Mytilus edulis: one gene and its partner. The protein of the gene in region 1 purifies or fractionates together with the protein of each later gene. This does not show direct contact. Links are inferred from orthologs where the notes say so. Each region holds a gene or a part of one and is shown on either strand. Other genes may lie near its edges.

Evidence for each region. The genes of interacting proteins can lie anywhere in the genome.
Region 2: the proteins of actin nucleation-promoting factor WASL-like (region 1) and cdc42 homolog purify together in Drosophila melanogaster (affinity purification with western blotting; 3 studies listed by BioGRID). This does not show direct contact. The link is inferred for Mytilus edulis from reciprocal best matches to the Drosophila melanogaster genes WASp and Cdc42.

What each region holds. Positions count from the first base shown.
Region 1 is NC_092344.1:35,959,019-35,966,233, reverse strand, and holds the start of actin nucleation-promoting factor WASL-like, read left to right. Parts: upstream 1-4,194; 5' UTR 4,195-4,237; coding exon 4,238-4,333; intron 4,334-7,215.
Region 2 is NC_092356.1:47,831,602-47,838,432, reverse strand, and holds the start of cdc42 homolog, read right to left. Parts: upstream 3,030-6,831; 5' UTR 2,816-3,029; coding exon 2,809-2,815; exon of another isoform or gene 2,718-2,808; intron 2,606-2,717; exon of another isoform or gene 2,464-2,605; intron 1-2,463. UniProt on the Drosophila melanogaster protein: Regulates mbt kinase activity and is also required to recruit mbt to adherens junctions. Together with mbt and Frl, regulates photoreceptor cell morphogenesis. Together with Frl, has a role in the neuronal development of mushroom bodies.

The DNA.
Region 1 (7,215 bases):
ATAAAGAAACAAGAGTAGACACCATTTGACCAACTGTGCTTACAATACTTGTGCAATAGTTGTAATTGATGTCCATACTACATTGTAGTGTCATACATGTATGATAATACATTACAGCATCCATAGAATTATCATCTTGGTCGTCAATGCCTCTCATTTCTTAATAAATTGCATTTGTTATTTTGGTTGTATGATTTTCTAAACAGACTTTTTTGTTATTAATGGAGTAGAATGTTGAAAAAACAAATGACAAAGATCATTGCTGAATGAAGTACAAGTATTTTTTTAAAGTTTAAATAGACAATTGGTATGGTGTTTGAGTGATTTTAAATAGATATTTCTTATTTGTTTCCAGTACATTAATAACCACTTTATCACACAATCAGTGGCAGATCCAGAAATTTTCATAAGTTGGGGCCCACTGACTGCCTAAGAGGGGGTCCGGCCCACTCCAGTCATGCTTCAGTGATTTCCTATATAATCAACCAAATTTCTTTCCAAAAAAGGGGAAGCCAGGGGCCCCTGGCCCCCTCTAAATCCGCCTCTGACAATACCATGAAAATAAATTAGCTGTAGCTATTTGTTGTATTTCGTTTTACATTGTTTATTTCTGACATAAAACCCGCTTAAAAAAATACAATTTGAAACTAGAAACACTTATCCTAAAAATTGCATTTTAATATTAAAACCAAAGAGAATGAAGAAAGAACACTATCGAGTGTACCTTAATATGATTCTGAAAAGTAATCATTACATTGAATGCTTATAATTACAATGAGATATGGTATGATTGCCACTGAGATTTATATCCACCAGAGTTCAAATATTGTGCATTCAATTTGTAGGTCACCTTTCAACCTTCAACAATGAGCAAAATCCATAGCCTATAGTAAGCTTTAAAATGCTCTAACATGGCAAAAAACATTGTTAATCTAACTGATATTTCTAAATTACTGAAAATCAATTGTTATGATGGAGAAAATAAGTGGCATTACAGTTTATCATGTTTATGTCATGGACACAAAGACCATCTAGGAGTTTTGCAAATGCCTACTTTGGACAGTCAAACGACAAGTAGGAATAAAAAAATCTACTTTAATGTTGAATATATTAAATTGATAATAGATATGGGGAATGTGTCAAAGAGACAATTAAGTAGAAGAAAACAGCCAAAGGACACCAATGCTTCTTATCACAGAAAAGAAAATCCAGCTCCCTCAGGCAGGCTTTAGCTGAACTCTAAAACAAAATGTGTACTAGTTCAGTGAAAATAGATGTCATACAAAACTTCAAAACATAAATGAACTAAGATTGAAAGTCCTACAAGGCTATTTAACATGCATAAAAATAAAAAGATGAGTATAAAAAAGATGTGATATAATTTCCAATGAAAAACTATAGGTTACTGTACAGCCTTCAACAATGAGCAAAACCCATACAACGTAATACAAATATACAGTTGTATAAAGATGAAGGAAAAACAAACGACAACCACTGAATTAGAGGCTGTTGCCTTGGGACAGGCACATATATACATACATACAGAATGTGGTTGGGTTAAACATGTTAGCGGTATCCCAACCCGCCCCCCATACCTAGGACAGTGGTGTAACAGTACAACATAAGAACGAACTATAAAAAAATCAGTTGAAAAAGGCTAGTCATCAGATGGATACAATTAGAAATACTACATAGAGTGGACGTGGCCGGGTACTTGTATATCCCAACAACAAAGGTACATTTGAGTATGATTGCCAATGAGACAACTCAATCAAAGTTCAAATCAAGTGGATGTTATCAATTATAGGCAACTGTACAGTCTTCAACAATGAGTAAAACCCATATATAGTCTGCTGTTAAAGGCCCAGACATAAATTATATGAACAATTCAAATGAGAAACTGACGGCCTAATTTATTACAAAACAAAAAATATCGAAAATTAAAAATTACATGCATGAACCAACAACAACCACTGAACTAAAGCTTAAGGCATAACACTGTACAAGGGTTAAATAATACTATTAATTTGAAAGCATGCCTTTTATGGCTTTATTTGTAAATACCCAGCTATCTATCTAATTGCCAACTGCAGAAATTGTAATATTTCATAAAAGGCTATCAGGAACTATGATACTGAAAATATATGGTTTTTGGTAGGGTTTGTGTTGCTTTCTTTAGTTTTTGTTGTTGCGTTGTGTCCTTCTTTATGACTATAAATACTAGGAAAAAGAAATAACCTAGTAAACTGAATTAGTAAGTCTATCAAGCCTCTAATCCTTGTTGTTAGGGTATATTAAGAAAATAAAATTGCAATGAATAACAATACAGTAGAAAGTAGGTCAACAAACACTATCTCGATGTGGCTATATATGTATGTAGATTTATGTTAAATTGAAGGGCATGTAAATAAAAATAATCAGATTTTCCTGTTCTTTTAGTTAAAACCATTCACAGCCAAAAATATCTGGTGAAATTCTGTTGATTGATGTGCAACTCAGTATATTATATAAAGGCATACGACTACAATTCACACATATGCACAGTACATAAAATCATGAGTTACTTAATCCTGCAAAAATCCATAGAAGAATATTGACAGCAATCGATCAATGCAATACTGCTTTGCTCTACAAAATAAAACAAATTTATTATACATTAAATATTGAATCACCTGAGTAAAAAATTGTCTATAATAATAGTCTGAGGTCTTACTCAATAAAATAAGACCTTGTACAGCTGTTGCATACTTGCAGTGTTTTATTCATATTATAAACCATTACCAGGGTAACAAAGAAATACAATATTAAAGACTTTAAATCAAAGAGGACTGACAGAAGACCAAATAAGGTACACAAGCTCCATACAAATTTAAAAAAGAATGTTTAGAGAGGGAAGGCATCACAGAAAAAAACATGCCTAGTCCTATAATTTTTGCATCTACATGTAAGCAAAAATATAAAATAGTCTTTCAAAGTGTCAAAATTATTTGGACTCTTGGACATGTTTTGAACTTACGATACCAGATAGATGTAAATAGTTCTTTCAATGCCAATGTGAAACATTTCTTCAAATAATATAAATATATGCTCATTTGACATAAATTTTGTACTAAAAAGTGGCTTTTATAAAAAAACAAAAACAAAATTAATCACTTCAAATGTATTACTCATATAAGGGAGCTACCATTTGATTTTTATGGGGGGGCTAGGATGAAATTTGAAAAAAATAGGCAGGACAGGAGTTTTGAGTAAAAAAAATAGGCAGGATGAGACATTTGCAAAAAAAAAAAAGTCAGGACGGCAATTTAGGTAAAAAAAAGTCAGGATAAACTAAAAAAAAAAAGACAGGACCGAACAGAGTGAAAAATAAAAAGGCAGGACAGATATTACAGCTAAAAAAAATTCAGGACAAAATTTTTCATCCTAGCCCCCCCCCCCCTTCCCATAAAAATCAAATGGTAGCTCCCTAAGGGATAGTCATGCAATTGAGGGGTTGTTCCTAACCTGTTGGAGGCAATGTCTTTTTAATACAATTATTAAATTAAAATTATTTTGAAACTCAGATCACAGGGGTTTGTTTCAAACCCTGTGCTCAGATGATCTCAGATGTTCAACTGTTCAATAAATTTATGTTGCGCGACTTTACTGTTTTTGCTTTTAAACCTATCAACTATAACCTACAATTCACCTACTGCCTTTTGACAACATATTAATTACACCATGACCCTTTAACACGTATATGCTAGCTGCATGTTGATGTTCTGTGGTTGAAGTCGATAAAAAAACAAGCACTCATGGAGGCTGCCATTTTGGATGTTGTGGGTCAAACTATCATTTTGGATACTATCGTTACTTTTCATAGGGTCGACGAATAATCCAAAATGTTCCGAGTCTCTGACAGAAATCTGTCATAAGAATTTTTACCATTGCGAAAACCCAGACGTTTGATTACAAATTCAAGCGTCTGGGTAATCGAGACTATTTGTTGTCGTGTGTCTGTGTCATTCGGAAATGACAATGGTTCCGAATGGAACTCCCGCGCTTAAATTCTTAAAAATTAGTTATAAACTAAAGAAAGTTGTTACATTTTTTCATTATTACATAAACACAAATATATTTTATATTCTTAATTTCACTATGATTCAAATATATCCATAGATTTGATAAATTTGTTTTTGTATAGAGGCTATCTATTTCAGTTACTCACAACCCGGAAGTTTCAAAGAAAATTTACAAAATGTCTATGAAGAAAAAAAACACGAATGTGTCATCTATTCTGTTAAATGACAATGAAAACGAAGCACTTTTCAACATCCTCGGTAGAGGTTGTGTGGTAAGAATAAGCAAACATTGAATTACAGGAGATACTCCCTTTTGCTTTAATTCTAAATCTAACCGTTTCTATGTAACATTATGTCAATTTATGATCACCTGTTTATTTATAGTACATCATCATACTAGCTTTAACATTTTTATTTGCCGTATAACATGGGTAAAGTTTAATTGGTTTCCGTTGTTTTACTGTAAACTAATGACAACTTTGCTTCAACAGCAAACAGATTGACCATGTTGAATTGCAAAAAGGGGAACAACTCTTTATTACTAAGTGAATATTTTGAACTCAGAGATAGTGCATGTACTTCATTTGCCACAGCTGCTTAACCCAGATTAGCCCGTTTGGTGCTTCCTTTATAGACACAGTCGCTTCATTTGCTGTAAAATCAGCTGGCGCACATATTCATACACTTCTCTCAGCAGTTTTAACACACCAGTAAGAAAGATGTGGTGTAGTGGTTAGTGCATCGGACTACTAACACAAAGGTTCCTGGTTCGATTTCAGTTTCGGGATGAAAATTTCAGGGACTGAATTTTCAGCTCTCTCTTGACATCATTTGAGAGTATGGTCTTGAGGAAACGATGATAGTCTGTAGGAAGGGGACGATAAATGGCTGACCCATGTTAAGAGAGAGCCATACATGTATCTCTTGCACGTTAAAGACATCGTTGTAGATTTCGAAAAAGAGCAGGCTAATGCCGCTACAAGGCAGCCCTTGCACCCGCTAAGTGGAAAGGGATTAATATAAGTTGTAAAACTTGTTTTCCAATCCACTATAAATATGTTTAACCTAACACACCAGCAAGCAATCAGCCTGTCATAAAAGTACATGTATGATGGGAAGCGTAATTTAGGATAAATTGTCGGAATTTGAAAGGTGAAGATTGAAACAATTTCATTATATGATATACTGCAATGGTTAAATGTGACGATAATAAATTGTAAAGCTACAAATGTACATTTTATTTTCAAATTTTTCAAAATCATCTCAGAGAAATGTTTTTATGATGAATAAGGCCTCGAAAAAAGATTGCATATAAAAAATACATATTTATTATCAACATATTCATTTTTTATATTCTCCAACTTGGAAACCAAAAAGTATAAATTTGAACTTCTGTCGCCATCTTTAAATCAGCCTGTTCAACTCCGTTTACTTCTCAGCCATTTGACCCAGTCACATGATAAGGCTAACTGGGCATATCCCCGAACTAGAACAAATGAAGCAGTCACAGATAGTACAATCTGTGAATATCCCCGAACTAGAACAAATGAAGCAGTCACAGATAGTACAATCTGTGAATATCCCCGAACTAGAACAAATGAAGCAGTCACAGATAGTACAAACTGTGGATAATATGTGGAGCTCCTGATATTCATTTCAGTAGGCATAGGTTTTAAAAGAAAAAAAAGGTAAAGTTCAGAAATGTCAACAAAAAAAATTATTGAGAAAAATCCCATATTTTTCCTTAACATTTTTGGCTACTTTTAAGCAAGCTACATTTGCATGGGATTAGCCTGTGTGCAGCTGAATCCAGGTTCGTTCGCCCTAAAACAAGTTCCACTTCTTTCACTTTTGCACTCTACACATTTGCACCCTTTTAATCGGTTTTGTGTTTAATAATTTGTAATTGAGTTTTGGTTTATATTGTATTGTTATAAAAAATATAATGTTACACAACACATTGATTTTCTGAAAACATTTTTTGTGTGGAATAAATCTTAAATCGTGTTTTGGTTTGAGAGTTTCTATATGTATATATATTTTTTTCCATTCAATGTTCAAAATAAAGTGACATTTTGACAACGGTTTTTTAGGATGAATAAATCTTGATCATGTTTTGGTTAGTGTATTATTGCTATACATATTTTTTTCATTGTTTCTTAATAAAGTGCCTTTTTCATGTTTCTTTTTCATGTCATGCATGAAGTCTTTTTAAAAAATAAATTTGTTGAAAAAATTTTAAATACACTTTTTGGTGCGAATGGACCTATTGGGGGACCCTGTGAGGTGATGACATGTATGGTGTGAATGTGAATTGGGAACAAACTGGCCTGATACAGTTCCAGCTTGGATTTGCCAACCAGAAAAAGGGCATCTGATGAGACATGAAATGATAACATGAAAAGGACATTTAACGAGTTAAATTATATTTTATAATAATTATTCTGCTATTTAAAAAAGTATTTAGAGAACCTGAAAACATGCTCAAAACCCAAAATAACATTTTATGTGGTCAAATATAGTCATTTTCTATTTAAAACAAAGAAAGACAATAACAATGGGATACATGTCAATTTTACTTTAATTCAACTTCAGAAATATGATTTTAATGACATGTACATGTACATGAACATAAGTTCCTTGTCCATATTACAATACATAACGGAGGACTTTCAAAACTTTTATTTAGATAGGGTTATTTCCCTTTTTCTTAATTGCATCAGCCATATTGCAGTGTCTTTTTACATGTACCACAGAATACCACAGAACTACAAAAATAAACAAAAGCTGAAATTTCTAGATTTTAAAGTCAGTATTAAGCATTTTTTTAAAGTTTTGAAATATTGAAATTTCAAAAGTAAAATTTCATGTAAAAGTCGAAATTTCCACTGTAAATTAATAAAAAGTTCAATGAAAATCAATTTTCATATATCATGTATATGTCTCTGATAAAATTCTGAAGAACCACATCAAATTCCAGTAAAGAATTGTAAACATATGAAATATGTATGTTAAAACTAACATCCACCAACACTATTCTTTGAATGGTAAATATTGCAGTATGCTACATTTGTACCTACATGTAGCCCAAAATAGCCAGGTGCAACTCTCTTTCTTTTTATATTCTTAAATCTTAGTCCTGACTACTAGTATG
Region 2 (6,831 bases), on another chromosome or scaffold:
TAAATAACCAAAGCATACATGTACCTACTTTGACCTATAATCATGATAATTTGTAACTTTTACTACATGTATGCATTGTGTCAATGTGACTTGGATTGACAGTTGTCTCATTGGCACTCATTCCACATCTTCTTACTTACACTGTAGGTTTTTTTTTTAAATGAATGACAGTTAGTAAGTATTTTATATTTTGGTGTATGAATCTGAAAATGATTGAACCAAGACTTGTGTATGTTGACTAAAGTTATGACACATAACTTGGGTTCTCATGTATTATATGTACATTCAGTCATTGTAACTGAACTTTTAATTTTCCATTTTTAATCATTTGTCGTTGTTTTTCCCCACTTTACCTTTATCTGATCATCGACAGTATACAATGTATATGAATATCAAAAATCAAACATCCATTTTAAAATTAAGTAAATTCTATCCAATATCAAAATGTTGTTTTTTACACCTATCCACAGAACTTGGCACACAATCAGCAAAACTTCTAAAAAGTCACATTTGGCAACCTTTTGAGATCGTAATATGCTTATCTGTTATCATGCTCATACCACATTATTTATTTCGCTTTAAAAGGCTTAAAGCATCTTCAAAATTGATTAAAATAAGTTTTTTGTGTTTGTCCAACTAGCTGGTATATATAATTATATATAATTTCACCCTGGTTACATACATTTTGTACTTTTAAAATTAGTTTTTAATTTATAATTTTTGTTCTTGTGCATGTTTCACACTTTTTTTTGTTTAGCCTGATTAAATTTGTACAGCAAAATCAAGCTACAATTGTAACCAGCATATACTTAATTTGGAGGACAGTGAGCAATGGTGAGTGAAGAAATGAAAACAAAATAATTAAAAATTAACTCATTGTTTCTCTCAACTGACACACTTTTTTTTCATATGACATATAAATGTACATGTAGTTGATGGGCAATTAAAGTGTCCCTTATATTTAAAACTTAGACAAATAAGGTTGACTACTTTTGATCTATAAACATGATAAATAAGACAGAAAAATAATTTATTTTCTGAATTTCCTTCCAGGGGACAATCTGATATTCACCATGTCTGAAATTCTCGCTGCCATATTTATTTTTTAAACCCTTGTTCTTTGTTTGCATCTCATGTTTTCTACTTGACTCGTCGTTCTTTTTGTCTTGCTTGCCTTATGTTTTATTAAGTATTTATCAATCTGAATCTACATTCAAAATCTAAAGAAATGACACATCGGGTGAATGATAGATAAAACGAATCCGGGTCAGTTCTCGCCTGATTTTTATTAGTTTTGTACATGTATGTACAAATGTAATAACTTTGTAATCAAGTTTTGGCAAGTGCATTCCTATAAGTACTGTATATAAGTTGTCATTGTCTCAAAATAAAGTGAGACAATGGTTTTTTTCCATGTTGAATAAATCTTAATCATGTTTTGGATAGTGAATTGTTGAAAAAAAAATTATTGTTTCTAAATAAAGTGAGATTCTATCAACTTTTGTGTTGAATGAATCTTAATCATGTTTTGGTTAGTAAAATGCTATAATTTATTGTTTTAAATTATTGTTGGAACTTTCAGATCAATGAGCCAAGCAGTTGAGTTAAAAACACTTATCTTTTGTGGTTTTCATTTAAAATCTTCAATGTTTTACTCATACCAAGCTAAATACATGCAGTATTTATATCACAGCAATTTAAAACAATTAACAATCATAATTTTCTAATTATTAAACTGGAATTTGATTTTAAATTTTGTGTGAACGTGTAGGGAGCCAACAGACCTTGGGTGCGAACGTGTAGGGTGGGAAAGTGTATTAGGCGTAAACGGACCTGATACCGGATATAAAACGTAATTGACTGTCCCTGGTCAATAGACAAAGCCAAAACAATGTTATATGCGACTCTGGTTCTCATACAAATGTACTTATTTTTATTCATTTTCGGAATCAACCTATTTCCGATGTTATTTAATAGCTATCATCATGAACATTGATGTTTTGACTAAAATATATATTTTTACTTGCTGATCATTGGTTTCTTTAACATAAATTAAACATCTTTATACCATTTGTATACGTTTTGACTATTTTTGTTGGATTTGAACTTTGTCTTGTACAAATGTATATTTTTTTACTTGTCGACGGGCAACCCAGACAAACATAATTACTTGTCCAGTTGTTCAAATGTAGGAGTCTGATAGTATTTTCACACCCCTGAACCCTGATGATTGATTTTTAAAATTTTTTTTTTATTGTTTACAAAACAAGATGTTCAGTTACGTTAAGTTTTAAGTGTACACAATTTAAAACAGCAAATAGGATGAACTTTAACAGGCTTTTTTTTTATTTATTATAGAGACACAGTACACTGTAATGCCTGTACAGAGATACATGATAAACAAGGCACTCCCAAGCCCCCTTTTTGGTTTGAAAAAGTCTGTGTTTTCATTCATTTATTTACCAAATAAAATGCACAGTTTACTTTGATAACTGTTCAAGGGAAAAACTTCTTTCAAATGAAACGTTATAAGTTAGAATTACGAGGATTAAAGAGGAGAACATTAACATTTACAGGCACCGGAAGCCATGCCGCCATTATTTTTGACAGACTCCGAGCAAGAATTCATTGGATAAAGAATCTCAGAGTTAAATGGGACAGATAAATCCCAAAAGAGTCCTTTGGATTGATGCCTCAAAAACTATCTAACTTCATACTTAGATCTTTTGTTGATAATCATTCAAATAATACCTACAATACTAATTTCCGGGGTGTTCAGTTAATCCAATTTTAACCGGAAAAACTTACAGCGCATGCGTCTATGACGTGATTTTCTTCTTAAAATAGCTCCAATAAATACACTAGTAACGTAGCACCTGTCAACATTCAAATGATCGGCAATACACAAATTCAGCTGATATATGTCCCAAGTTTAAATCCAAATATAACGACGAATCAAATTTCTGGCCTATTTTTATGGTTCTATTCTTGGATAAAACGAGAAAATAGAATAAGAGTTTTGATATAGACTATTTTTTTCAGTATAGATCGATCTATACAGTCAGTGATTAAACCGTTTTATTATCTTTTTAAGTCAATTGTTGAATGAATAGGTTAACTATATACATGATATATATTAAAGGATATGAAGGTGTTTTACAGAGATAAGAATTCTGTGCAAAAAAGTAAGCCTGGAAGGGAGGCCAAAAAGTATAGATAAAAGAAGGTAGAGGTGATGAAATATATACATAATCAAAATATTGATTGATTGTTGGTTGTCTAAAGTCCAGTGGCAAATATTTGATGCTTGTTTAGGACGAATATAAAAAAGATCAATTGACAGGAAAATAAAGTATAAAGTGAAATAGTTACGATGATGTGACCCCCCTAAAAAAAAACCCAACACAACAACAACAAAAAACAACAAAATAAACCCACCCACACTCGCATATATACATGTATACATCTCAAAAAATATATAAATTTTGGTTTTGGTGCCCCCCCCCCCAGGAATCGAGGTTCTGGATCCGCCCCTGTGTTCTGTGATTAATTATTAACTAATCAATCAGAAAATCATATGGACACAGTTATAGCGTATTTGTTTGTTTGTTAGTTAATTGTATAGACATATTTTTTTAAATATTCAGTGACCGGATAATTTTCCGCCGTATTTTTTGTCTACTCATGTGTATTTAATTATCAACGATGGCCTAAATAAAAATAATAAATCATACATTCTGTATAAATATTCGCTTATCTTTCGCCATATGACAAGGTCATGTATACATGCAGTTGAATGATGTCTTCTTTTTAAAAAAAATCAAATTTATATAATTAAACCCTTATGGGTGTACATGCAGATTGACATGCCCGAAATCTTCTGCATTTATTAGTGGAAATCGGGATTTCAACTAGCCCTCAGTAACTGCGAGTAGTCTTAGATTAGAACTCTGGGACTTTTTTTTGTAGTTGCTATAGTTATTCGATTTTCAATGAGTTAATGCTTTATCTGATTTTCAATGAGTTAATGCTTTATCTGATTTTCGATGAGTCAAAGCCTATTCAACCTATGTTTAGTTGTTTCTAATGTTCTGCTGTTAACCACTGTCAAATGTTTAGTAGGGTCCTAAGTTTCGGATGGGCCTAAGTTTCGGAGGGATTCGGACTCTCATATACATATTAATGTGTCTATGATTGAGATATAATTGGCATCAATAAGACAGCAACCACATAACACGGATAAAACAAAAGAGACTATTGAAGGTTGTCATTACGTTTTCAATAATGAACGGGCACAAACCCTAAAATTATACCATGCAAACTCAGAATCGCTTTGAATCTTTACAAGTTACGTTAGCTAGTCAAAAGGTAGTTTGACCGTTCATCAGGTTCAAATGGTTGCAAGACTTTTGTTTCCGAGCACAGCTGCTAATCAAGGAGCATATATATAGATACTATGAGAATGAATACTAAAAGGAAACCCTTCGGTCATTCATAACCACTAGATCATTCGTGGTATGCATTGTAGTGTGTAGGAAGCTGCCAGGTGAGCGACCAAATCTTTGGGGTCGTTTTAGGTATAATTAGACTGCTCGGATGAAAAAATATGATTTAATCTTGCCCGAAATGCATATTAGTATAGTAATAGTATGCAGATCAAAGGTTACAAGCGTAAACAATTATGCATGCTTCACAGCGCTAGCAGTTCAGTTTCGTAATACAGCTTTTTTTTTTTTTTTATTATTTTTTATTTTTTTTATCAAATTTGGAAATATCAAAACTATCCAATGTTGTTAGGCTACGTACGCTCCTCTAAGGTTAGGGTGGAGAGTATCGTAGTTAAAACTAACAGCGGATCTGATTTTCATTGCATCAAACACTCAATCTATTACAATGGCGGATCCAGGGGGTGGGGTCGGAACCCCCCTTTTTTTTGGACGCTCAATGCATCAATCTCCCATACAGACAGAGTTATCGTCCTTTCCTCCTCCTCCTGTCTGTATGGGAGATTGTCAATGCATTTGAATGTAGTTGCCCCCCTTGTCTTTGGTTACTGGGGAACCCCCTTTTTAAAATGGCTGGACCCGCCCCTGTATTACATAATGTTGTCTGCTTAAAGGGATAATTCGCGAATTTTTACTTATCAGCTAATTATGTCCATAATACAATAAAAAACATATTCACCAAGTTTTATCTGGATATGAACAGCAATAAAGGAGAAAATTAAGAATTATTAATTTTATTTCTTCGAACTTCCTGACTTATGTGACGTAGTTTATGTCTTTAAGCATGCCGGGAGTGGAAATAATCTCATTTTAAATCTTAATCGTTAATCATCTTATAACGCTATTTAAAGCGCATAGACGACGTTTGGTGTGGCTATTAACCAACTAATAATTAAGATGGAACAGCGCTCATTTTGAAAGTAGAATGTACGATTTATATTTTAATATTTTCTGAAATGTTTATAGTGATACAAGTAAATCATATATATAAAATATTTTTTTATGATTTTTTTTTCCGACGGATATTTTGAACTTACATGTATAACTGGTAGTGTTTTAAAAATGCATGTTTGTACTTTTTACCTTTTACGTCAGGCTAGTAAATATGTGCTGCTAGTACATTTGTAGTGTGCAAATACGGCCCCGCAAATACAATGTGTATTGTACTTTGACACATAGTGACTACCTGTTGAATGCGTGGTTAAATTCAAGTTAATTAAAAGATTAGCATTTTGTATCTTTTGATCTTTACTCAGTGAATTTAAGCCGTCACGGTTCACTTTTCTAGGTGTGAACATTTCGTATGAATGATAAACGGGGGAATCTTAATATTTTCCATGAGCTCAGTTTAATTAAATATATTATTGACGCTGAATATTTTTTGTTAAAAACAAGGAATACTGAATTAATTTAATTGAATAAATTTATGAATAATGATGTAAAAATTCTAAATAAGAATCGGTGACCTTGAATTTTTGAAATAGATAGTATAATTACCAATTGCAGTTATATAAGGCGATCTTCTTTTTTTTTTTTTTTTTAATATTCAGGAAGTAATGTCCTTTCACCACGTACTAATTCTTCAGCTATTTGAACGAAAATATCAAAAATGTTGACAGAAAATTTAAAGGTCAACTTTGTCTTACTGAAAGGGAGGGAGAGCTCCAGACGTACTTACTAACAGACAAAGCAGGCTTGTGGCTTATCGTCAGTTTGTGTGCTGGGTCAGGAAAGGTCAACCACTTGGCAAGAAACATAGAATAATCATACCGGCTTGTGTAGTAAACATAATTAGAAAAGAGTTTCCATCGTTGGATGGGGTATACGAATGATTCAAAGAATGTGAAAGTGACACTTCAGATTGAATAGTTCTAAAATCATTTAAACGATTTACCAATACATTTTTTATTGGTTATTGGTTATTTTTTGCTATGACGTTGTCAGTGTGTTTTTTAATACTGAAATTGACTATCCGTTTTGGTACCTTCTGCCTTTTTACAAACAAGACCATGAAACTGAATATTGGAAATGTATCATGCTACTTCAAAAGAAAAAGCACTAATGGATTGTCCTAGAAGCATATTTTATGAGAATAATAATGGTCTATAAGCAGTTACATTTATTTCATGTTTGAAGCGGTGTATTTTTTTAAAATTTAATTTGACTTTTACCAAGAAATGCATTGTAGCAAAGGGGAAGAGTAATTGTGGTCTAGTGTCAGATACTCGAAAATAATGAAATTTAACATAAAAGGAAACAAATAACGGACTTTGGCAAAAATGGAGAGGGCTTTTGATACCTTTTCTCCAGACATAAAATCTTTTAC